Linked DNA regions of Callithrix jacchus. The protein of the gene in region 1 purifies or fractionates together with the protein of each later gene. This does not show direct contact. Links are inferred from orthologs where the notes say so. Each region holds a gene or a part of one and is shown in the gene's direction. Other genes may lie near its edges.

What was found.
Region 2: the proteins of RNF146 (region 1) and HLTF purify together in Homo sapiens (affinity purification with mass spectrometry; 4 studies listed by BioGRID and IntAct, with this or other methods). This does not show direct contact. The link is inferred for Callithrix jacchus from reciprocal best matches to the Homo sapiens genes RNF146 and HLTF.
Region 3: the proteins of RNF146 (region 1) and PARP2 purify together in Homo sapiens (affinity purification with mass spectrometry; 4 studies listed by BioGRID and IntAct, counting the BioPlex papers as one, with this or other methods). This does not show direct contact. The link is inferred for Callithrix jacchus from reciprocal best matches to the Homo sapiens genes RNF146 and PARP2.
Region 4: the proteins of RNF146 (region 1) and XRCC1 purify together in Homo sapiens (co-immunoprecipitation; 3 studies listed by BioGRID and IntAct, with this or other methods). This does not show direct contact. The link is inferred for Callithrix jacchus from reciprocal best matches to the Homo sapiens genes RNF146 and XRCC1.
Region 5: the proteins of RNF146 (region 1) and CHD1L purify together in Homo sapiens (co-immunoprecipitation; 3 studies listed by BioGRID and IntAct, counting the BioPlex papers as one, with this or other methods). This does not show direct contact. The link is inferred for Callithrix jacchus from reciprocal best matches to the Homo sapiens genes RNF146 and CHD1L.

What each region holds. Positions count from the first base shown.
Region 1 is NC_133505.1:133,838,559-133,842,931, forward strand, and holds the start of RNF146 (E3 ubiquitin-protein ligase RNF146), read left to right. Parts: upstream 1-1,543; 5' UTR 1,544-1,775; intron 1,776-4,373. UniProt on the Homo sapiens protein: E3 ubiquitin-protein ligase that specifically binds poly-ADP-ribosylated (PARsylated) proteins and mediates their ubiquitination and subsequent degradation. May regulate many important biological processes, such as cell survival and DNA damage response.
Region 2 is NC_133518.1:36,168,903-36,173,425, forward strand, and holds the start of HLTF (helicase-like transcription factor), read left to right. Parts: upstream 1-1,669; 5' UTR 1,670-1,875; coding exon 1,876-1,895; intron 1,896-3,329; coding exon 3,330-3,537; intron 3,538-4,523. UniProt on the Homo sapiens protein: Has both helicase and E3 ubiquitin ligase activities. Possesses intrinsic ATP-dependent nucleosome-remodeling activity; This activity may be required for transcriptional activation or repression of specific target promoters.
Region 3 is NC_133509.1:55,070,661-55,075,098, forward strand, and holds the start of PARP2 (poly [ADP-ribose] polymerase 2), read left to right. Parts: upstream 1-1,229; 5' UTR 1,230-1,236; coding exon 1,237-1,282; exon of another isoform or gene 1,283-1,309; coding exon of another isoform or gene 1,310-1,316; intron 1,317-2,511; coding exon 2,512-2,667; intron 2,668-2,972; coding exon 2,973-3,043; intron 3,044-4,438. UniProt on the Homo sapiens protein: Poly-ADP-ribosyltransferase that mediates poly-ADP-ribosylation of proteins and plays a key role in DNA repair.
Region 4 is NC_133523.1:38,064,384-38,068,924, reverse strand, and holds the start of XRCC1 (DNA repair protein XRCC1), read left to right. Parts: upstream 1-1,638; 5' UTR 1,639-1,755; coding exon 1,756-1,806; intron 1,807-2,203; coding exon 2,204-2,296; intron 2,297-2,832; exon of another isoform or gene 2,833-3,025; intron 3,026-4,541. UniProt on the Homo sapiens protein: Scaffold protein involved in DNA single-strand break repair by mediating the assembly of DNA break repair protein complexes. Negatively regulates ADP-ribosyltransferase activity of PARP1 during base-excision repair in order to prevent excessive PARP1 activity.
Region 5 is NC_133519.1:7,379,546-7,383,487, forward strand, and holds part of CHD1L (chromodomain-helicase-DNA-binding protein 1-like), read left to right. Parts: intron 1-318; coding exon 319-474; intron 475-1,814; coding exon 1,815-1,907; intron 1,908-3,176; coding exon 3,177-3,273; intron 3,274-3,942. UniProt on the Homo sapiens protein: ATP-dependent chromatin remodeler that mediates chromatin-remodeling following DNA damage.

The sequences.
Region 1 (4,373 bases):
GTAGTGGAGGTGGTAAGTAGTTGGATTCTGGATATACTTTGAAGGAAGAGCCAATAGATTATATACCACATGCATATGAGCCATAAATGAAAGGAATTAAATATGGGTTTGAACAAGAAAAGATGCAGCCATTTTCTTAAATACAAAGACCCTGGGTATGAGTGAGAAACAGTTGTAGTTGACATCTTACTGTCTGTGCCTGGATTCAAATCTCAGCTGTGTGCTTCTTTCTGTAAAATGAGAATAACAATAGTGCCTACCTCATAGTTTATTAGGAGAATTAAATGGGTATATATAAATAAAGCACAACACCTGGCACATAGCTAATTAATAATAGCATTATTTCTTCAAGTTGGAATCTTTGGGTACATTATCAAATTTTAGCTATTCTGTGTTCATGGGCTGTGTAGGATAGAGGGATAAAACTGAGTGGCTAATAAGAAGATGAAGATAGAAAACTAAGCTTAAAGGACATACACTTCAATATTTCTATATGTACAGAACTTGTAAGAAAAGCAGTTTTGCATACATGAGCAAGCATCACTGAACTAGATGGCACCTTTCAAGAGACTGGTTTACATATTGAGATATGAGAATGAGAACCCTGAAATAAACTGATTCAGAGGAATAACAGAAAACATATAAATTTCTATACATATAAGGTCGCTGAAAACTTCCCATCCTGAATGAAACATTTAATGAAATCCCAAAACGCAACACTATTGCAAATAAGACACTGTCATAAAATTTTGAAATACATACGCTTTTAAAGATAAAAGGCCTGCTCTTCCACCCTCTTCATTTTCCTACAAATTAGGAAAATTTAATCAGTTCTGAAAAAGGAAATGTACATGCGAAAATGGTGAATACTGCTAGAGTTCTGATGTTTTAAACCACAGGCTTGCGATCAAAATAACCTCTTTAATTTTAGATTCTCATGCAGATTAATTTCTTTCTCCAGTTTTTCAAGCACTATTCTGTTTTTTTTTTTTAAAAAAAGGAGGGGTTCAAAGGGAAAGTAATATCCATGCTTTTCCCGATTAAATTGCTCAACCATTAAAAAGGTGAATAAATTAGAAAGCCCTAGAATACTCTACCCCCTCGGTCCGCCCCCCACCACCCTTTTTTATTTCTTGAAAGGGAAAAGCAGTTCTTTTGCCAGGGGATCTTCAAGCCGAAACTCGGCTAGGCACCCCAGGGCTTCTCCCGGATCGCAAAACTGGATTTCTGCGCAGCACCACCTGCAGTTCCTACACGCGTTTTACTTCCTCCACCCCAAATCTGCTTGCTGGAGCTGCATTCTTTCAGAGCCTCTGGCCCCTAATACAAACAAAGTACACTCTAAAGCAGCCAGAAGGATCCAAGCAGCGAAGTCGCGGATCCCCACAGGCAGGAGAGTGCAGGCAGGCAGCGGCGCGAAACCGGGACGGAACGAAGAGACGCCGGAGCGAGCCCGCGGGTGCGCGGCGCGGCTTCCGCCCCGCGCGGCCCCGCCCCCGCGACGCGCCGGGTGGTCACGTGAGGGCCGCGCGCGTCCCCGGCCGCTGCGGGCTCAGAGGCCGGAGAGAAAAAGACTGCGAGGTGTCCGCTGCTGTGGCCAGAGAGGTGGCAGTCGGAGCGAGGCCCTGTCGGGGGAGCAGGGAGAACTCCGGCCACTCCAGGACCCTCACTGGGGGAGAGGAAGCATAGCTCGCGGTGTCACCTTCAGCCGCGACGTACTCCGGGTCGGCCTTGCGCTCGGGGCCTGAGAGGGGCGGCGGCGGGGTCAGGGGCCGGTACGTAGATGGACGCCCTTGGGCTGGCGCGGCCGCGGCTGCCCGCGCAGAGGCGGGATGGGACAGCTCAGCCTTTTCCGCCACCCCAGCCTTGGCTGCGGTCGCAGGCTAGACGGCCGTGACAGCCCCTGTGCTGCCCGAGGGCGCCGCAGACCCTGCCCTGGGTGACGGCCTGAGCTGGTCTCGGTCGGGGTGCGAGGGGCGGAGCAGCGGCCATTACTGCGCAGCCTCTTCCGCCGGAGCCCGCGTCGGTGCCTCGGGTAGCAGGCGGGTCCCTCTCCTCCCCCTGGGCCGTGGTGTCAGGCCTCTACGCGGGGACCTTCTGGCCTCGAGGTGTAGGGGCGGCGATGGTTTTTTGGCAGTAGCCTGCTCCCTGTTTCCCGTGTGGGGTCAGACACTTTGGGCCTTGGGTCAGATCGAAGCCAGGGCGTACAGTCTGCATTTTGTCTTTTCCCGGAGTGTCTCTGGCTGCTGCTTTCTCTGCTCTTTCTCTTCCTCCTTTTTCTCCTCCTGCTCAGTGTCTCGGTCTTGCCTAATACGAAGAGAGCATTCCTGCACCTTGTCCTAGTGAAGCCCCGCATTGCATATTCTTAGCTGTTTTGACGGCTGTTAAAGCATCGGAACAATTAAGAGGTCTCAGAATGTCCCTTGAGCCTCCAGACCCTCTGTACATCTTAAAAGCCGAGGCTGTTGCTTTGTTCTGGTTGTTGGGTGGGGAGTTCTCTTCCTACCCTCCATCCAGTCTGAAGGAGTGCGGGTCTTCCATTGTTGTCGCTATTTATTTTTCAAAGGCTTCTAAAGAATGTAAAATTATTTTTAAGAATGTGGAGAGGGAACCGTCCTCTCCACAGGACTGTAAGTTTACACACACATCCTGGCAACAAGAATCTTTTCTCGTTCATCATTTTGGTATACGTTTTAATTTAAGTGCCGTTTTAGTGAGCACTTATTTCTCAAGTTTTGAACATTTTAAGTGATATTTTTGTAATATTGAAACAATGTACAACTGAGGAGAGAAGAAAGCCAAAAGATGATGGGGAACGCTTTGTTCTTTGTATGATTGACATTTCAGGTGCTGGGCACATCACCCCCACCCCGTGTGTGTACTTTTCAAATGGGATGTGAACGTATAATATTGGCATTCAATGCAGTATATAATTATAAATCTGGAAGACTTAGGACATTTTAGTCAGTGAATCTATATTTAGACTTTTAAGACATGGCACGTAAGGACACATGAAGAAAATATCCCACACAAATAACAGGATTTGTGATTGTGCCTTTGCTGTTTTATGACTAGCAAATACTGTTTTTGTGGACTGTCTTGGTGCCCTAAAAACACATGAAAATAGGTCAAGTAAATCTCATTTTAAAGAGAAAACTGGAAGAGTGAATGCCACTCTAAAAATAGATTTTGGATGTGTTTGTTTTGGTGCCTTGTATATTTTAAAGTGGAGGATGTTGTTCAGCCCAATCTTTCATTTACAATTTGTGTCTCAAATGGGCCAGTGTATGCTGTGGGCAGAATGGAAATACATTTAGTTTTTCTTTTCTTCGATGGTTGTTCAGAACTTGGTAGAATTATAATCATCAGGAAAACTTTGTCCAAATAGCTGGTCTTTAGACAAGAGGAAGAAAAAACAATTAACTGTTTTGTAAAGGCGATGTCCACTTGCAAAGTGTTTTGTTTCAGTCTCCACCAACTTACATTGTCAGAAGAAAGGAACAGACATTTTTTTTTAAAAGGATCCAAAACGATATTTTGAGTTAGAAGAAAAGGATATTAAATTTTCTGTTTTCACAATATCTATCTGTTTAAAGAATATTATTTTATGTGCTAGCCATATACTAGCATGAAACGTCTAACAGCACTGTCAGTTGGGAATTCGAATGTGTATTTTTCTTCGGTGTTAGTAATAAAAGGTACTGAGCCTTTTCCATTCTCTTACCTGGTTCCCTTGTGCCTGAGGAGTCTCAATTTGTGAAAACAACAGGCTGGATCGGGAACAATCTTTTTGGGTATAGAAACCAATTTATTTAACACTTGGCTACAACCACCTGTGCTTACTTATGAACTATCTTTAGTTTTCATGGCTTATTACCTTTTGGGTTAATTTAAATCCAAAATGGTTGTTAACTGACTGCTAATTAAAGCATTTAGAACGTAAAATATAAAGTAGGACGAGATAACAAAACACTGGGGGTTATGACTTGACCAAAGTCACACAGATAATTTGCCAAAGAGCCTTTCTTATTTATGAAATGGTTGCTGGCTAAGAAACATCTGTGTTTGATATTATTAAAAGATTTGTTCACTTTTATATCTCATGTTTTGAAATAAAATGCAAAGCCCACTTTTTTGTTGTTGTTTTGAGAAAAATTGAAGGGTTTAAAGCGCTAGTATAAAGATTGTGAGGTCAATAAGTAGATTGCCACATAGTAACGTTTTTAAAGGGAAATATTCTTTAAAGTATCAGACCCCATTTAGTTGCAGTGAGTTTTGTTGAAGTTTTCGAGTATGACCTATGCTTTTTCTTAGCTCATTTTTAGCAGGTGATGATGAGGGCTAAAAATGGAAATATTAGGGCATTTAGTTAC
Region 2 (4,523 bases), on another chromosome or scaffold:
CGTTCTCACATTTGGAATTTCTTCTTTGTCTAATGAGTATGGCTTTCTTACTCTTACACACAAAATATCAATTTAAGCAATTTCTGGCATATTTTCCAAGAATTTATTTAAAATCTGGCACACCAAAAACTCAACCTGTATTGTCATTTGCCTCAACACACTTCAGGAAGAACACAAAACAATTAAAAAATAATTTGAAATGCCATTGTCTCTATCTTCCTTATCAACTTTGGTGAAATTAAATAATACATTGCTTCAAATTCTCTTGCTCATCCATGATTCATGAATACAGATAATTACAGTTTATTTATGATAATGAACAAATGCTTCTTGAAAAGCTGACCACCGGCCCGGCACCTGGCTCATGCCTGTAATTCCAGCACTTTGGGAGGCCAAGACTGGAGGATCACCTTAAGTCAGGAGTTCAAGACCAGTCTGGCCAGCATGGTAAAACCCTGTCTCTACTTAAAATACAAAACTTAGCCGGGCGTGGTGGAGTGCACCTGTAATCTCTACTCAGGAGGCTGAAGCAGAATTGCTGGACCCTGGGAGGCAGAGCTTGCAGTGAGCCAAGATCGCACCTTTGCACTCCAGCCAGAGTGACAGAGAAAGACTCCGCCTCAATTAAAAAAAAAAAAAGCTGACCACCTAATATACTGTGCTGACCGGCCTCTAACATGGACCTCTCTGTGACTGGCAAGTATTCTCTGGCAGTTACATGGCGCTGCCTATGCAGGTTGGCGCCACCACCAACCTCCTGCCCTCTGCGGTTAAAAGGTCAACCTCTGGGGCAACAGCCTCCTCTCCACCCCCAAAGCGCAGGGACCAGCCCTACCAGGCCTCAGCTGCAGCTGGCCCAAGGCTGACCATCCCAAGCCCGCATTCTCCCTCCAGTCACCTCAGATTCTGGAAAGCGGGCCACAAGGGCCTCAGGGTGCCTCTCTGCAGTTCCGTGAGGAAAATAAGCGTGTCCCCTGTCTGGAGGGGGCAGCCACGTGACCATGGGGGAAATGGCGCGGAGTCCATTTCCAGCAAACGCCCCCATAGCTGTGATAAGCGTGCGATGGCTTTCCTGCACCAAGAAAGAAAAAATTTCCTTAAAAATAACAAAAGGAGGTGGGAAGGGGACCCTTAAGTCCCATTTAAGATTTTCCGATCTCGTTGTGTCTCATACATAAGCTGAGGCTTAAAATGAAAATTTGGAGCGAAAGTCCCCAGGGTTAACCACAGGGAATGAAGAAAGGATCTTGCCTGTAGTTCCAGGTCTCCCAAGTTCTTTTAGTATAAGGCCCTTTTACGTGTCACATTAGATAAGGAGAAAATCAGAGGGAGGATACAGTAGAGCCTGAAAAATGGGGTTACGTCTTAGGACTTGTGAGGTAAAGGAAAGTCATCTCTCTCGGTTTGAGGCAGGGAAATCAAACAAAACGCCGGCACCGCAGGCACCGCAGGCACCGCAGTCACACTCCAGAGGCCGCGTGGCTTTCCCGCGCGCCCGCCTTGGGGGCGGGGAAGAACCCGGATGGAACCGCCCTTGCAGCCGGGACCCCCAGCCGTCTTTGAATGGCAGCGGGGCGGAGTTGCCCTCCCTTCTATGCCTTGATTGGTTTGCCTCCGCAGTTTCCTCTTCGTTATTGGGTTTTCTCAGTGCCAGTCACAGAGCGACGCTGGTCTCTCAGATTGTTGCTAGAAGGAGACGGCGTCGACGTCTGACTGGACTCGCGGAGATTTATCCTTCAGCCGTGCGCTCTCGATCCGGAGCTCGGAACTTGTCCCGCGCTTCAGGGCTGCGGGGCCTGGAAGGAGGCGTATCGAGGAGACCCGAGAACAATCCAGGGGAGCCGAGGCGCTCCTCTTGTCATCTCCCTCAGCGCCATGTCCTGGACGTTCAAGAGGTGAAGAGGGTGGAGGGGGTGGGGAGATGGGGCTAACCGCCTGGAGGCGTCCCCAAATGAACCTGACCTTCCCCGCGTTCCTCCGGCGATTTGTGCGGCTGTATTCCTTTTGTGGGTCGCCTATGTGGCCTCGGGGGAAATAAATGCATTGTCTTGGCTGGCGAGTAGGGGCTCCTAGGGCGAGTCTTGTGTTAGGAACTTGGGAAATCTCTGTCACTGACTGTCGGGGGCCTGGGGCTCAAAGCCTCTCGGCCTGTGCTTTATTCAACAAAATAACCATTAGATGCCCACTGTGCGCCAAGCACTGCTCTCGGTGGAGGGCCGAGTAAGACAGCCCTTGCCCCCAAGTGGCTCACAGCTTATGTGTATGCAAAGCCATTGAGATATGTATTTGCAGAGGAGCTAATAGAGGTGCGCACCGCTTGCAAGGAAAACGCAGCGCAATTAAAAGCGACTGTTCTTAGGAAAATGGAAACTTCTTGGAATGCTCCAGTAGACTTCCCCTCATTTTTCATTGTCCAAATTGGTTTTCATGGCTGTTTTCCAAACAGTTACAGGTAACAGGTTTGGGGGTAGGCTTAAACCAGCGACGGGAGCTGGGTACGGAAGGCTGGGGGGCCAATTTCCCACGGTGGCGTGATTTGGATGCAGGAATAAAGTAAGTGTTCTGCTCAGAGGGAGTTACAGTAATGGATGCTGGATGTATTTTCTGGAAAGTTGCAAACAGCCTCATGTATAATAATAGTTGTATTTTTGTAAGTCTTTTGTAGCTCAATCAGTATTGAAATGTTGACATACAGTTTTATTTATTTTTTTATTTGAGACGGAGTCTCGCGCTCTCACTCAGGCTGGAGAGCAGTGGCACAGTCTCAGCTCGCTGCAACCTTCGCCTTCCGGGTTCAGCCTCCCGGGTTCAAGAGATTCTCCTGCCTCAACCTCCTGAGTAGCTGGAATTACAGATGTGCGCTACCACACCTGGCTAATTCTGACGTTTTTAGTAGAGAAGGGGTTTTACCATGTTGGCCGGGCTGGTCTCAAACTCTTGACCTTAGGTGATCATCCCGCCTTGGCCTTCCAAAGTGCTGGGATTACATGCGTGAGTCACCACGCCGGACTCTTAATTGTAGTTACTAACATCATATACATTTCAATTTAGACGGTTTTCACTATGAAAGAGGTTTGTGAACTCTGACTGGGCTTTTCATTTTGAATACCTGGGGAGCAGGTAGAAGAGCCAATACTGATCTGGTGGAGTTTCTGGAATCCTTCTCCACTCACTGCAATTTCTGCTTTAACCAGAGTAACTATAAATCTTTAGTGTGATTCTCATGTAAGATTTCATTTGCTGAAGTTAAGCACGGGAAAACTCATATGGTCTTTGGAAATACTTGAATATTATATTGTTTTTCTTTGCTCTTTTTTTTTTTTAAATAGGGATCCTGTTTGGAAGTACTTGCAGACTGTCCAATATAAAGTTCATGGAAATTTTCCACGCCTCTCATATCCAACTTTCTTTCCACGTTTTGAATTCCAAGATGTTATCCCTCCAGATGACTTTCTAACTAGTGATGAAGAACTAGATTCAGTTTTATTTGGAAGTTTGAGAGGTCACGTGGTTGGACTACGTTATTACACAGGAGTAGTGAGTATAATAGTAGATAACTAAGTTAAATTTTGATTATATTTGTGGCATTAAGATAAGAGAATTAATTAGCAGGTGATATGTATGGTTAATCTTTATTTTACTTTAAGTAAATGAAATATTTGTAACCAAGAAATAACAAATACCTCAAGTGATCCTCCCGCCTCAGCCTCCCAGAATGTTGGGATTACAGGAGTGAGCCACCATGCTCTGCCACAGTGCGTTATGTTTGATTATTATGGGCACCCTGCCCTCACACCCCAGTGCCTTGGCATGTCATAGATTTGTTGCAAAAAGGAGATCTGTTTTGTGGAATCTTCTGGATTTTATTTTCATTCTTCCATATGTTTCTTAAGTTCAAGCTTCTCAAATCTTTTTTTTTTTTTTTTTTGTGAAGGTGTCTGAAACATGTTCAGAAGGAGATTCCTTGGGAAAGAATTTCATGTTCTTGATTTGTTTTTCTCCTGTATTTTCTTTACATTGGAACTTTTTGAATTGTTTTTTGATTGTCTGAAATGTATTGTCTAGGAGATTCCTTAGGAAGAAACAATAGTTCCTAAGTTTTTGTATCTTCCTTAATTGTGGCATGTTATGAATGATAGTTTCATAATATAAAAGTTATGAAGGAGTTAACGACAGTTTGGCTGAATTTAAAATCGTCGTCATATGTAGTTTCTCTCCATATCCTAATGCTGCATAGCATGGAATTCTCAGACAGCTATGATTTTCTTTTCCACTTAAGTGAATTGGATGTTTCTGTTGTTGTTGTTGTAGTTGAGGCGGAGTCTTGCTCTGTTGCCCAGACTGGAGTGCAGTAGTGCAGTCTTGGCTCACTGCAATTTCTGCCTCCCAGGTTTAAGCGATTCTCCTGTCTCAGCCTCCCAGGTAGCTAGGATTACCAGCACCTGCTGCCTCACCCAGCTAATTTTTGTATTTTTAGTAGAGACAGGGTTTCACCATGTTGGTCAGACTGGTCTCGAACGCCT
Region 3 (4,438 bases), on another chromosome or scaffold:
CAGGCGTAAGCCACCGCGCCCGGCCCCAACTTTACATCTTTTGATTAACAAAAATTAAAGTTTATCTTTTTTTCCTCTTTTTTTTTTTTGAGACGCAGTCTCGCTCTGTCGCTCAGGCTGGAGTTTAGTAGTGCGATGTCAGCCCACTGCAACCTCCGCCTCCCGAGTTCAAGCGACTCTCCTGCCTCAGCCTCCTGAGTAGCTGGGACTACAGTACAGGCCCGCGCCACCACGCCCGGCTAATTTTTAAATTTTTTTATAGAGACGGAGTTTTGCTATTTTGCTCTGGTTGGTCTATAACAGGGACTATTTTATCCTAACAATGTGTTTCTAAACGATATTGGTGCCAAAATCAGGATTACCCGATGATATAGTTAACACAAGCTTATCGAACCAGAGGGTCTGGAGTGGGGAATCTGCCTAAGTTTACAGTCCCCATACTCGGTGATTCTCATGCAGCCAAATATTTGGGCGCCCCTGACCTAGCGTCACCAAGAACCAGAAGACCAGTAGCAATTTCGCGGACTTCCTGGCCCCGGGTTCCCTCTGTTCCATGCAGTTTCATGGAACTTTTCTACATTCCACTCCCCGCCCCCGCATTCCGCCCGGCGTTGATACGCTACGAACCTCTCGCTTTACCGCTGCCACTCGGTTTTTCTTCAAAAGAGGGCGGGGGAGAGTAGTCTGAATTGGGTTATGAGGCCCCCGTTCAGGGTACCTCACCTCAGCCATTGAACTCGCTTCGCTGGCCGTGAGTCTGTTCCAAGCTCCGGCAAAGGAGGCATCCGCCGGGTCCCACCCCGAAAGGCGGGGTCCGCGGCATCTCCTGCCCATTCTGACCCTCGCGCGGAGACCCGTTCTCTGGGAACTCACCTCCCCGAAGCTCAGGGAGAGCCCTGTTAGGGCCGCATTTGGCCCTAGTCTCAGACCTTCCCAAGGGACATAGAAATTGAGTGACAGGACGCACTCAGCTCGTGGCCCCACTGATGAGCTTCCCTCCGCCCTATGAGGAAAAGTAGTCCCACAGACAACTTATAAGACTCCCATACCCTAAGACATTTCACGATTATGGTGACTTCCCAGAAGACACAGCGACATGCAAATATTGCAGGTCGTGTTTCGCCTGTCCCTCACAGTCGTCTTCCTGCCAGGGCGCACGCGCGCTGGGTTTCCCGCCAACTGACGCTGGGCTCGCGATTCCTTGGAGCGGGTTGATGACGTCAGCGTTTGAATTCCATGGCTGCGCGACGGCGACGGAGCACCGGCGGCAGCAGGGCGAGAGGTTTGGAGCATATTAACGCCGAGAGGAATGCGGGGTGGGGAGTCAGAAAAGGAACAATGCCACCTACGGTGACACCCTTTCCCTTACAGCTCCCCATAACGTGTCTACCAAACCAGTTTGGGTGCTAAATTTTTGTTTTCGTACCTTTGGGGATTACATAATTGTGCATAAAGCTTTGCGGACCTGGAACAACTAATAGTGCCAGTAGTGTTGTTAATACCTAATGTCATCCAATTTACAAAAAGTAATTGCAGGGTACACCATGATTTTATACTCCACAAGAAAGGATAAGCACTGAAAATGGTGTACTATGATTCGCTACTTCTGTCGTCCATTGTAAGATGCATCCCAGTTCGAGAGAGTAAAATGCAAGTCTTAGACCTATTGAGATAGAGTATTATGTGTATAATGTTCTTAAATGCATAGGTTCACCCTATAAATTAGGTACTATTGTACTTCTCTAGAAATAGAATATTGTTGTACAGTATTCTAATATTGAAGCAAGTGAAGTAGGAAGAGATCAAATACTTGAAGCAGCAGAGCTAGGCTCTAAGTTAGGCACAAACCCTTGAGCACTTTACTAACCTTTATCCCATACCGCCCCATGTATGAGGTGGATATTTGGGGGACACTGGGACACAAGTAAACAAAACAGATAGGCAGGCCTCAGTCTATGAACTTACAAGACTCCTGGGGCTCCCTTTTATTTTGTTTTATTTCATTTGGCTAAAATAGCAATTTAGGAAGAATTCCACAGTCTGTTATACAAGAGTAGTGTTTCGACAGTTATTGCCTCTTTGTAAACTTAGAAAATTATCTTAAACCGGCAGGGTGTGGTGGTGCACGTCTGTAATCCCAGCACTTTGGGAGAACGAGGCAGGCAGATCACTTGAAGTCATGAGTTTGAGACCAGCCTGGCCAACATGGTGAAGCCCTGTCTCTACTAAAAATACAAAAATTAGCTGGGCATGGTGGTGCACACCTGTAATCCCAGCTACACGGGAGGCTGAGGCACAAGAATCACTTGAACCCAGGAGGCGGAGGTTGCAGTGAGCCGAAATCGCAGCACTGCACTCCAGCCTGGGTGACAGAGTGAGATTCTGCCTAAAAAAAAGAAAAAGAAAAGAAAATTATCCTAAACCATTTCTTTAAAATATTTTTTTCAGTCTCTTAAATCTACACATATTCAGGTGTACTCGTTCTTCTTTGCCCATTTCCAAATTCTGTAGCATTAAATGGAAACAAAAGAGTTAATGATGGCAATACAGCTCCAGAAGACTCTTCCCCTGCCAAGAAGACTCACAGATGCCAGAGACAGGGGTTGAAACAGATGCCTGTGGCTGGAGGAAAAGCTAACAAGGACAGGACAGAAGACAAGCAAGATGGTAGGCCAGGGAGGTCATGGTCAGCAAGAGGGTCTCTGATAGGGGTGGATGAGGGGATGATATCTTGTTATGTCAGCTCTTATTTCTTCCTTCTTTCCGGATATAATTAATTTATCTAGCCTTTGGGCATACCACAAAACTAATCTACTGCCTTGAATCTTCGTTTTCATGTATTTGAGGTGGATTGAGGCCTAAGGAAAGACCAGGATTGCGTGGGAGGGCAAAGTTAATCCTGACAAGTTTCTGTTTAGCCACAGCAGCTGTTTTTGCTTCCCATAAAGTAGTACCTCTATGTTTTTCCTCAGAATCTGTGAAGGCCTTGCTGTTAAAGGGCAAAGCTCCTGTGGACCCAGAATGTACAGCCAAAGTGGGTAAGGTAAGAGAATCTGGAACCAATCTTCAGGCCATGGGTGTCTCAGAGAGCATCCTTTGTTACAAGGACTCGTCTGGGATACTGTTAGTATTCATTTTAGGAATCCTCTCTAAAATATGATGAGTGATTAGTTTTCTCCAATGGCAAGGGATAGGAGTGGTAGGACTTGGGGTTAATAATCAGGGTGTTTTTTAACATGGTGTGTTAGACCATTCTTGCATTGCTATAAAGAAATACCTGAGACTGGGTATTTTATAAGAAAACAGATTTAATGGCTAATGGTTCTGGAGGCTGTATAGGAAGCACAAGGGTATCTGCTCCTCAGGAGGCCTTACGAAGCTTTTACTCATGGCAGAAGGTGAAGCAGGAATAGGCACTTCACATGGCGAAAGCAGGGGAGAGGGAGAGAGAGAAGGTGACAGAGACAGAGAGAGAGAGAGTGGAGGAGGTGTCACATGCTTTTAAACTATCAGATCTTGGGTGAACTCACTCATTATCAAGAGGACAGCAGTGAGAGAGTGGTGCTAAACCATTCAGAGAAATCCACTTCCATGATCCAATCACTTCCCACCAGGCTCCACCTCCAATACTGAGGATTACAAGTCATCATGAGATTTGGAAGGAGACAAATACACAAATTATATCACATGCTTACCTTTTGTGGTTGCCATCAGCCTTCTATACCTCATTCTCTTTTTCAACCAGAAAATGTCATTGTTAAGGGAAAACTGTTTTCTTGTTCTAATGAGAAACTGTACCCAATGGCATGAGTTACTGATGAATGGGGAAAGAATCTGAAATACAGAAAGGCTACCTCTACAGTAAGTTTTCTTTTTTTTTTTGAGACAGAATCTTACTATGTTGTCCAGACTGGAGTGCAGTGGCTCAATTTCGGCTCAGTGCAACCTCCGCCTCCTGGGTTCAAGTGATTCTCCTGCCTCAGCCTCCCAAGTAGCTGTGACTACAGGCGCGTGCCACCATGCCCAGCTAATTTTTTATTTTTAGTAGAGATGGGGTTTCACCATGTTGGCCAGGCTGGTCTCAAATTCCTGATCTCAGTTGATCCACCTGCCTTGGCCTCCCAAAGTGCTGTGATTACAGGGGTAAGCCACTGCACCCAGCCAAGTTTTCTTTAACTCAGAATTTTTTTTTTTTTTTTGAGATGGAGTCTCAACCACGCTAGAGTACAGTGGTGTGATCTCAGCTTACTGCAACCTCCACTTCCTGGGTTCAAGTGATTCTCCTGCCTCAGCCTCCTGAGTAGCTGGGATAACAGGCACCCACATGCCCGGCCTGCTAATTTTTATATTTTTAGTAGAAACGGGTTTCACTGTGTTGGCCAAGCTGGTCACAAAGTGATCCAGCCACCTCAGCTCCCAAAATGCTGGGATTACAGGC
Region 4 (4,541 bases), on another chromosome or scaffold:
CCACCGCCCATTTTTGTTTGTTTGCTTGCTTGAAGACCAAGACTGTGTTGGGCCACTTGATTCCCAGCGGCTGCAAGAACTGGGATTCCCTCTCCTCTCTCTTCCCCTCTCCTCCCAAGGAAGCACCCAGTGTGGGTGGGGCCCTACCTTGGGGCATGCAGCATGTCCAGGCTGGTTCTTTGGGTGCCAGGTGCTTTGTCTCCCTTCCCTTCTCTTCATGTGCTTGGCTCACACTCCCTGTATGTTTGGGCTGCCTCCAGCTGCAACCTCACCCAAGGCTGCATCCTTGGGTCTCCAAGGGACCGAACGAACAGAGGGATGCCTGTCAGCAGCCATAGCGGGCATAGTAAAAGACAAATGCTTACAGGCCACATATTGGGAAACTGAGGCTTTTGTGGAAGCATTCTAGGATGGGGTGTGCCCATGTGTGTGTGTGTGTGGGGGGGTTTGGGCATATGCTTTGTGTTTTATTTAGGACTCTGAATCCTTCTCTTTTGGCCTCAGGCATGAGGCTGAGAGAGATCTGAGAATGTTTTCTTTTTCTTTTCTTTTCTTTTTTTTTTTTTTTTTGAGATGGAGTTTCGCTCTTGTTGCCCAGGCTGGAGTGCAATGGCGCGATCTCGGCTCACCGCAACCTCCGCCTCCTGGGTTCAGGCAATTCTCCTGCCTCAGCCTCCTGAGTAGCTGGGATTACAGGCACTCGCCACCATGCCCAGCTAATCTTTTGTATTTTTAGTAGAGACGGGGTTTCACCAAGTTGACCAGGATGGTCTCGATCTCTTGACCTCGTGATCCAACCGCCTCGGCCTCCCAAAGTGCTGGGATTACAGGCGTGAGCCACCGCGCCCGGCTCTGAAATGTTTTCGTGTGTGTGTGTGTGTGGCAGGGGGACAGAGAGAAGAGTGCAGCCGCCTGAGCTGTTGGAGAAGATCCTGTTGCGTAGGATCCAGGTTCCCTACGAAACTATGAAAATTCACTCAGATTTGCTGTCCTAGCCCAGCGCGGTGGCTCACGCCTGTAGTTCCAGCACTTGGGGAGGCCAAGGCAGGCGGATCGCTTGAGCTCAGGAGTTCGAGACCAGTCTGGGCATCATGGCAAGACCCGCCGCCCCCTCAACCCTCCCCCGTCTTCACAAAAAATACAAAAATTAGCCGGATGTGATGGTGCATGCCTGTAATCCCAGTTTAGGAGGCTGAAGTGGGAGGATCTCTAGAGCCCAGGAGACAGAGGTTGCAGGGACCCGAGATCCTGCCACTGCACTCCATCCTGGGTGAGAGATCAAGACCCTGTCTCAACAAAAAATTTTAAAAAATAATAAGTAATAATAATAATACAGCAAAAAGATTTGCTTTCTGGGCTCCAGTATGGGCGGTGACTGCATCGTCCAATGAGAATCGCGAATTTCTTCTAGACACCAATCCCAGAGGTCGCTTCTGTTGCTAGGCGCCCGGAAAGGAGGGTGTGGACGTCATCGGGAGGCGGGGCTAGAGCGGGGGTGTGTGGCAGAGGAAGGCGGGGCTCCAGGAAACGCTCGTTGCTAAGGAACGCAGTGCACTTCCCGCTCCGGAGAGGCGCGACTGAGCTTGCGCAGTGTCGACGCCAGCGCCGGCGCGCCGGGGTTTGAAAGGCCCGAGTCTCGCGCGCTTGCGCACTTCAGCCCGCGCAGGGTGCACCCCACCGCCTCCCGCCTTCCTCGCCCCTCGGACCCCAGATCGTACCTCATCCCTGTGGCCAAGTGAAGCCCACGAAATTGACATGCCGGAGATCCGCCTCCGCCATGTCGTGTCCTGCAGCAGCCAGGACTCGGTGAGGGACCTGCGTGGGGGCAGGTTGGGAGACGTGAGGGAATTAATGAGGATAGCTCCTTAAAGAATTTTTGGGGTCCTTCTTGGAAGTCTAAGGAGAGTCAGTGGGGGGATTTCCAAGAGGCTAAAAGTGAGTTGTGGAGAGATGTTGAATCAGGGACATTCTGGCCTCTAGGGAACTTCCGGAGAGAAAAGGAGGAACAGGGAAGCTTTCTTGGAGAGCCCGTAGGTGAACTTCCACGGAAATTGTTATAGGGGAAACTCCAGGCAGAGTGTGGCGGATTAACCGGGGAGCTTAAATCCGGAGGCCTTGGGAGGACTCAAAGGAATCATCTGAGAGCTGGAGGCCTAGCTGTCATCTTTGTGCCTTAATTCTCCTCTCCCATTCTTGTTTCCAGACCCACTGTGCAGAAAATCTTCTCAAGGCAGACACTTACCGAAAATGGCGGGCAGCCAAGGCAGGCGAGAAGACCATCTCTGTGGTCCTACAGGTGATCCTGCCACCCCACCTCCTCCTCACTAGGAATCTGGAGTCCGGGGGGGCGGGGTCCGGATTCTGCTCCTGAGCCAACTGGCAATGGGTTGAGTCACTTTCTTTGCTGGGCCTCAGCCTCCTTACCTGGAAAATGGGCAGCATAATCCCTGTGCCCCTCAGCAGAGAGGGAAGGAGACCCAAGGATTAGGTCCAGGATGATCACAGGAATCAGTGTGTGGTCTGGGCAGGTGGCTTCTACTTTCTGGGTCCCAGTTTCCTTAGCTGAAACAAAATGAATTATTGCAACGTACCCTGCTTCCTGTAGCCAGTGGGCTCAGGACTGGAAGGTGTCCAGGAAGGTCGTCTAAGCCAATCAACTCCACTTCAAAGAAGGGGAAACTAGCTAGGTATGGTGGCTCATGCCTGTAATCCCAGCACTTCCGGAGGCTGAGGTGAGAGGATTACTTGAGCTCAGGAGTTCCAGACCAGCCTGGGCAACATATCACGACCCTGTCTCTACTTTTATTAAAATAAATAATTGTTTTTTTAAAGAATAATAGGCCAACTGTGGTGGTTCACACCTGTAATCCCAGCACTTCGGGAGGCCGAAGCTGGAGGATCTCATGAGCCCAGGAGTTTGAGACCAGCATGAGCAATATACTGAGATGTCGTCTCTACAAAAATTTTATAAATGAGCCAAGCATGAGGATGTACACCTGTAATCCAAACTACTGGGGAGTCTGAGGTGAGAGGATTGCTTGAGCCCAAGAGATGGAGGCTACAGTGAGCTGAGATTGCACAACTGCACTCCAGCCTGGGCAATGGAGGGAGATAATAAATAAAAATAAAAATATAAAATAAAAAAATAATAATAATGAGAGCGAACATTATTCAGCGTTACCTGCCAGTCACTGCTCTACACACCTCACTTCTGGATTAGCTCACTGAGTCCATATAAAAAGCCCCATGAGACAGGGTCGGTTATTATCCCCAGTTTAACAGATGAGGAAACCGAGGCCCAAATAAGTTATACAACTTGTCTGACAGTCAATCTTTTATTTGTTTATTGAGACAGAGTCTCACACTGTTGCACAGCTATAGTGCAGTGGCACAATCTTGGCTTGGCTCACCGTAACCTCCACCTCCTGGGCTCAACCGATTCTCTTGCCTCAGCCTCTTGAGCAGCTGGGACTGCAGGTGTATACCCATGCCTCGCTAGTCCTTTTATATTTTTTTTAGAGATGGTGTTTCCACCATGTTTCCAGGCTGGTCTCAAACTCCTGGGCTCAAGCGATCCTCCTGTTTCAGCCTCCCAAGTGCTGGGATGATGTATTTGCCATCGTTCCTGGCTCAGTGGGTGCTTTATGACTATGAGGAGCAGAACACTCTGTGGATAGTGCTAGCATGAAGGAGGATAAATTAACCTTTGTGAATGGGCAGTCATTCAGCATATATCCACTCCTCTCCCTCCCACTGGAGGGGGGGTATATATTTCCCTGCTCCATTGATGGGTTTGACCATATGATTTACTTAATGGAATCTGAGCACACCTAACTTCAGCAAGGGCCTTAAATGCACTTGGCTTTTGTACTCCCATGATCTGCCATGAAAACATTTGCCAGGTTGTTGCTGATCCCAGAAAACTGTGGAATTCCATGGAAGAGACCTGAATCCTCCCAAACTGCAGCCAAAGCGGCCATCCCACAAACCCTTAGAAGGATGCTTGTTGGTATAAGTTTCAGTTTTCATGTTGGGAGGCCAAGGTGGGTGGATCACTTGAACCCAGGAGTTTGAGACCAGCCTGGGTAACATGGGGAAACCCTGTCTCTACAAAAAAATACAAAAAATAGCTGGGTGTGGTGGCACATGCCTGTAGTCCCAGCTACTAGGGAGGCTGAGTGGGGAGGATCGATTGAGCCCATGACGTTGATGCTGCATAGAGCTGTGGTGGTTTCACTTCACTCCAGCTTGGGAGACAGAGTAAGACTGTCTCAAAAACAAAAACTAAAAACCCCAAAAAGGAAACAAACAAACAAAAAAGGTCTCAGTTTTAGGATAATGTTCTACATGGCATTATTACAGTATGAGTTAATACAGCTTCGTTGTTTTAAACCACTGAGATCAGGGACTTCTTCGTTACTGTAACATCTTCTAATCTGTCCCAGTTGATGTCAGTGTTTAACACCTGTCAACTATGGCCTCCACTTCCCAGGTTCAAGTGATTCTCCTGCCTCAGCCTTCTGAGTAGCTGGAATTTACGG
Region 5 (3,942 bases), on another chromosome or scaffold:
TTCTAAGCTGTTATGCTGAGCAATGAGATTAAATACAAAAATGCTCTAGAAACAAAAGAGCTTTGTTGATATGAGATTAGTAAGAATCAAGTTGTTTGGGTGTTCCTAGTTCTTGGGTTAAGAACCAGTAATGATTCCAGAAATAATTGGGAAGAAGATCCTAGTGAAGGAAGAAGTGCTGTGAAAAATGACCATCTGGCCAAGTGCAGAATAAGCGTGAAATGAGAAGCAAAAAGAAATTCCTTTAAGTTCTCTAGTAGTTCATTGCCTTGGTTCTACTTTTGTCCCTTGCTTCTTGTATTTTTTTTTATTATATAGCTAGTGAGCTGCACAAACTCTTGCAGCCATTTCTGCTGAGGCGAGTGAAAGCTGAGGTAGCTACAGAGCTGCCCAGGAAGACAGAAGTAGTGATATACCACGGCATGTCAGCATTGCAGAAGAAATACTACAAGGCCATTTTGATGAAAGACCTAGGTAATCAGAGGGCACCTGTTCATTTAGAAACTAAATGAGGATGTGATTTCATGTAGTAAAATATTTTATAATCACACTTATTTGTATGATCCCAAGAATATGAGGTGGAATTTTGTATTGCGAATAATTCCGGTCAGCTACCACGGGACTGTGGTGGAGCTTCTTAAATGTAACTCAGCCTTGGTTGGTGCAGTTGTGAAATTTCCTTTTCTCCCCTCACTCAGTTTTTCTTACTGCCTGTAATTAAGCAAACACTTCTAAGTGTCCTAGTCATGCCTTTCATCCTCCCCCCCGTCAGATATGGTAGTCCACCCTCATCTGCAGTTTTGCTCTCCAAGGTTTCAGTTACCTGCACTGAACTAGAGTCTGAAAATATTAAATGGAAGATTCCAAAAATAATTCGTGAATTTTAAATTAAACTCTATTGTTAGTAGCGTGATGAAATCTCACTCCGTTCCACCCAGGACATGAATCCTCCTTTTGTTCTGTTATCCACGCCGTCCGCATTAGTGGCTGCTCTGTCATCAGTCCGATAGTCGTGGTATCGTAGTGCTTTTGTTCAGGTGACCTTTATTTTACCTAAAAATGGCCCCAAAGCACAAGAGTAGTGATGCCTGCATTTTGACTATGCCAAAGAAGCCATAGAGTGCTTCTTTTAAGCAAAAAAGGTTTAAGTTCTCAAAAAAATGAAAAAAAAATTCTATACCGAGATTGCTAACAACAAATCTTCTGTGACATTGTGAACAGTATATTGTTATAATTGTTGTATTTTTATTATGAGTCATTGTTAATCTTTTACTTTGCCAAATCAAACTTTATCATAGGTATATAGGAGAAAACACAGAATGCATATAGGGTTTGGTACTATCTGTGTTTCTAGTATCCACTGGGGGTCTTAGAACATATTCCCCATGGATAAGGGAGAACTGCTGTGTTTAAGAGAATGCAAAACTTTTTTGTTGAATCAAATTCACTGGGAGGAATTGGGAGTGGCAAGGGAGAGAGAGGGGTGAAATAATTTCTCAGTTTGCATTTCTTTGTCCCTTGACTCCACAACAACAGTTAAAGAAAATTTAGAATTTGCAGAAGAGTAACAGAGTACTCCTGAGTTCAATTTATACTTGAGGGGTCTTTCCTAAAACAAAATGGTTAGGGAAATTTTATACGAACATGATGTTAATTCTCAGTTCAATTCAGTGAAATTTGGGAGGTTAACGTAGGTTCGAAGGATATAATTGAAATGATTACGGTTATTTCTAGAAACTCAGGGTTTTGGTTTTTGTTTTGTTCAGTAGGCCATCTCTCTCTTTCTCTCCCCCCCCCTTTTTTTTAAATTTCAGATGCATTTGAAAATGAGACAGGAAAGAAAGTTAAACTTCAGAACATCTTGTCCCAGCTTCGAAAGTGTGTGGATCACCCATACTTGTTTGATGGTGAGGCAGTGCCCTTTCCTCCACATTATTCTTTGTTAACATTTCTGTGGCCGAATCATACCAAAATTCTTCAGAATAATTGCATATACTTACTGTGTCTACTTTGTTTATTCTCAGTTTTCTGTATTAGTGTTAAGTCATATATTGTTCATTTTCAAATATCCTCAGTTGTCCATCTAATATCCATCCCTTCTAACTATGTTTTTTTTGTTGTTAAATCCATGATCAGTCCTAGACCCTGCAGATCCTGCACTGCATTTGTCATGTCTTTTTATTTTCCTATAAAACCTACAAACATTTTTCAGAGTGTTTTTTTTTGCCCTTTTTTTCTTTCATGCATGAAGAGTCAAGACCGATAGTTCTATGAAATGCATGATAATTTGGATGGATTTGATCATTTCTTCGTGATTCGATTTCCCATTGTCTTGAACCCACTCAGCCTTTCGTCACCACTGTTCCAGGTCTGCCAGTGATCGCCCTGTTGCCCAGCTGGTGGTTATTTGTTAGTTCATGTTTCAGTTACCCTCTCAGAAGCCTTGAGCACAGCTGATCACTTCTTTCTTGAAGCCCTTCCTCCCTCGGCTTCTGGGATATACTTTCTCTTCTCCATCTGCTTCTTCTCAGTCTCCTTCGCTGCTTCCCCTCATCATGCAGACCTCTGTAAATTTCCCCTGAGCACTGTTGTAGCTGCGTCCTAGGGATTTTGATGTGTAGTGTTTTTGTTTTTCTTCAGACTGGGGCTTTTTTGATTCCCCGATTGTTAGCCCTTGGAGCAAGCACTCCTGTGGCCGTGGATACTCTACGCATGATCAGTACAGAGGGTTTGCTGCAGTTACTTTAAGGGGATCTCTGCCGAGCGGTGCTACAAACTATTTAAAGATAGTACAAAATCTTAAGTAGGCACATATGAGAACTTTTTTAAGAGGAGGGGGCAGTGGGAACACGTAGGTTTTGAAAGAAGCCCTCCAGGTTATTCTGACTGCCATTTTGATTTATTTTGTAGAGTGAGTCTCAGGATTTCAGTTTTAGGTCTCCTTGACCTTTAGCATCCTCTTCTGCGTCAGTTTTCTGAAGAGTGGTTTTATTCCTTAGATAGACGTTTATTAGGCTTGTTAGATATGCCAGACTCTAACTGGTGTTAAGCAGAACTGAGATCATCATGCAAACAACTACTTATAAGAGGAGCTTGGCTTCTCTTCCTGTAGCCTAACTATTGGCTTCTGCCCTTACTGAGGGCACATGACTGGGAGTGGGTTCTTTCTTTTCTAGGTGTGGAGCCAGAGCCTTTTGAAGTTGGAGACCACCTGATTGAGGCTAGTGGGAAACTTCACCTGCTGGATAAGCTACTAGCATTCCTGTATTCCAGGTAGGTGGTAGGTTCACATTTGCTGCTCTGAGCTAATGACTGTTGCGACTTTATTGAGGAACTCACTGAGTTGTTGAGGCCAATTCCAGTTTTCTTTTTTTCTTAATGCTGTTTCAGGTTTTGCCTTCTCTGTGACGACACTCGCACCCCATCCCTTCCACAATCATTCTTTTCTTTCCTGAGTTTCTACAGCACTTAGGATCCCAATCCAGCACTTGGCAGTGGGCTGCGTTAATCTGCTGTCTGGTTAATTGGTGTTTGTTAACTCTGTCACTCCAGCTATGTTGTTTGGCTCCACAAGGACAGAGACAACACTGAGCATTTCTTTTATAGTTGCCTGTAGTAACTTGCATTGAATTGACACATAATGAAGGCTCAGTAAGCATTCATTTTTGTTAACCTGTGGGGTTTGATTTGAACTCATCGGGAAATTGAAGGACTCTTTCTCAGAGACATGATTTGGGCATTAGAAGACCAGATTCAGTTAGTGTTCAGCAGCCATGTGTTCAGCTTATAGCTGAATCCTCCTAGTCACCAGAGAGAAAGCAGGGTCTAGGAATGTGCAAGTGAAATAATTTCATGTCTTACTGTATTTCACTGGTTCTCATACAGCTGCCGTAAGTATGTTAGAGTTGGAAAAGGACCCATAATTGCCTTCTCCCCAGTTTT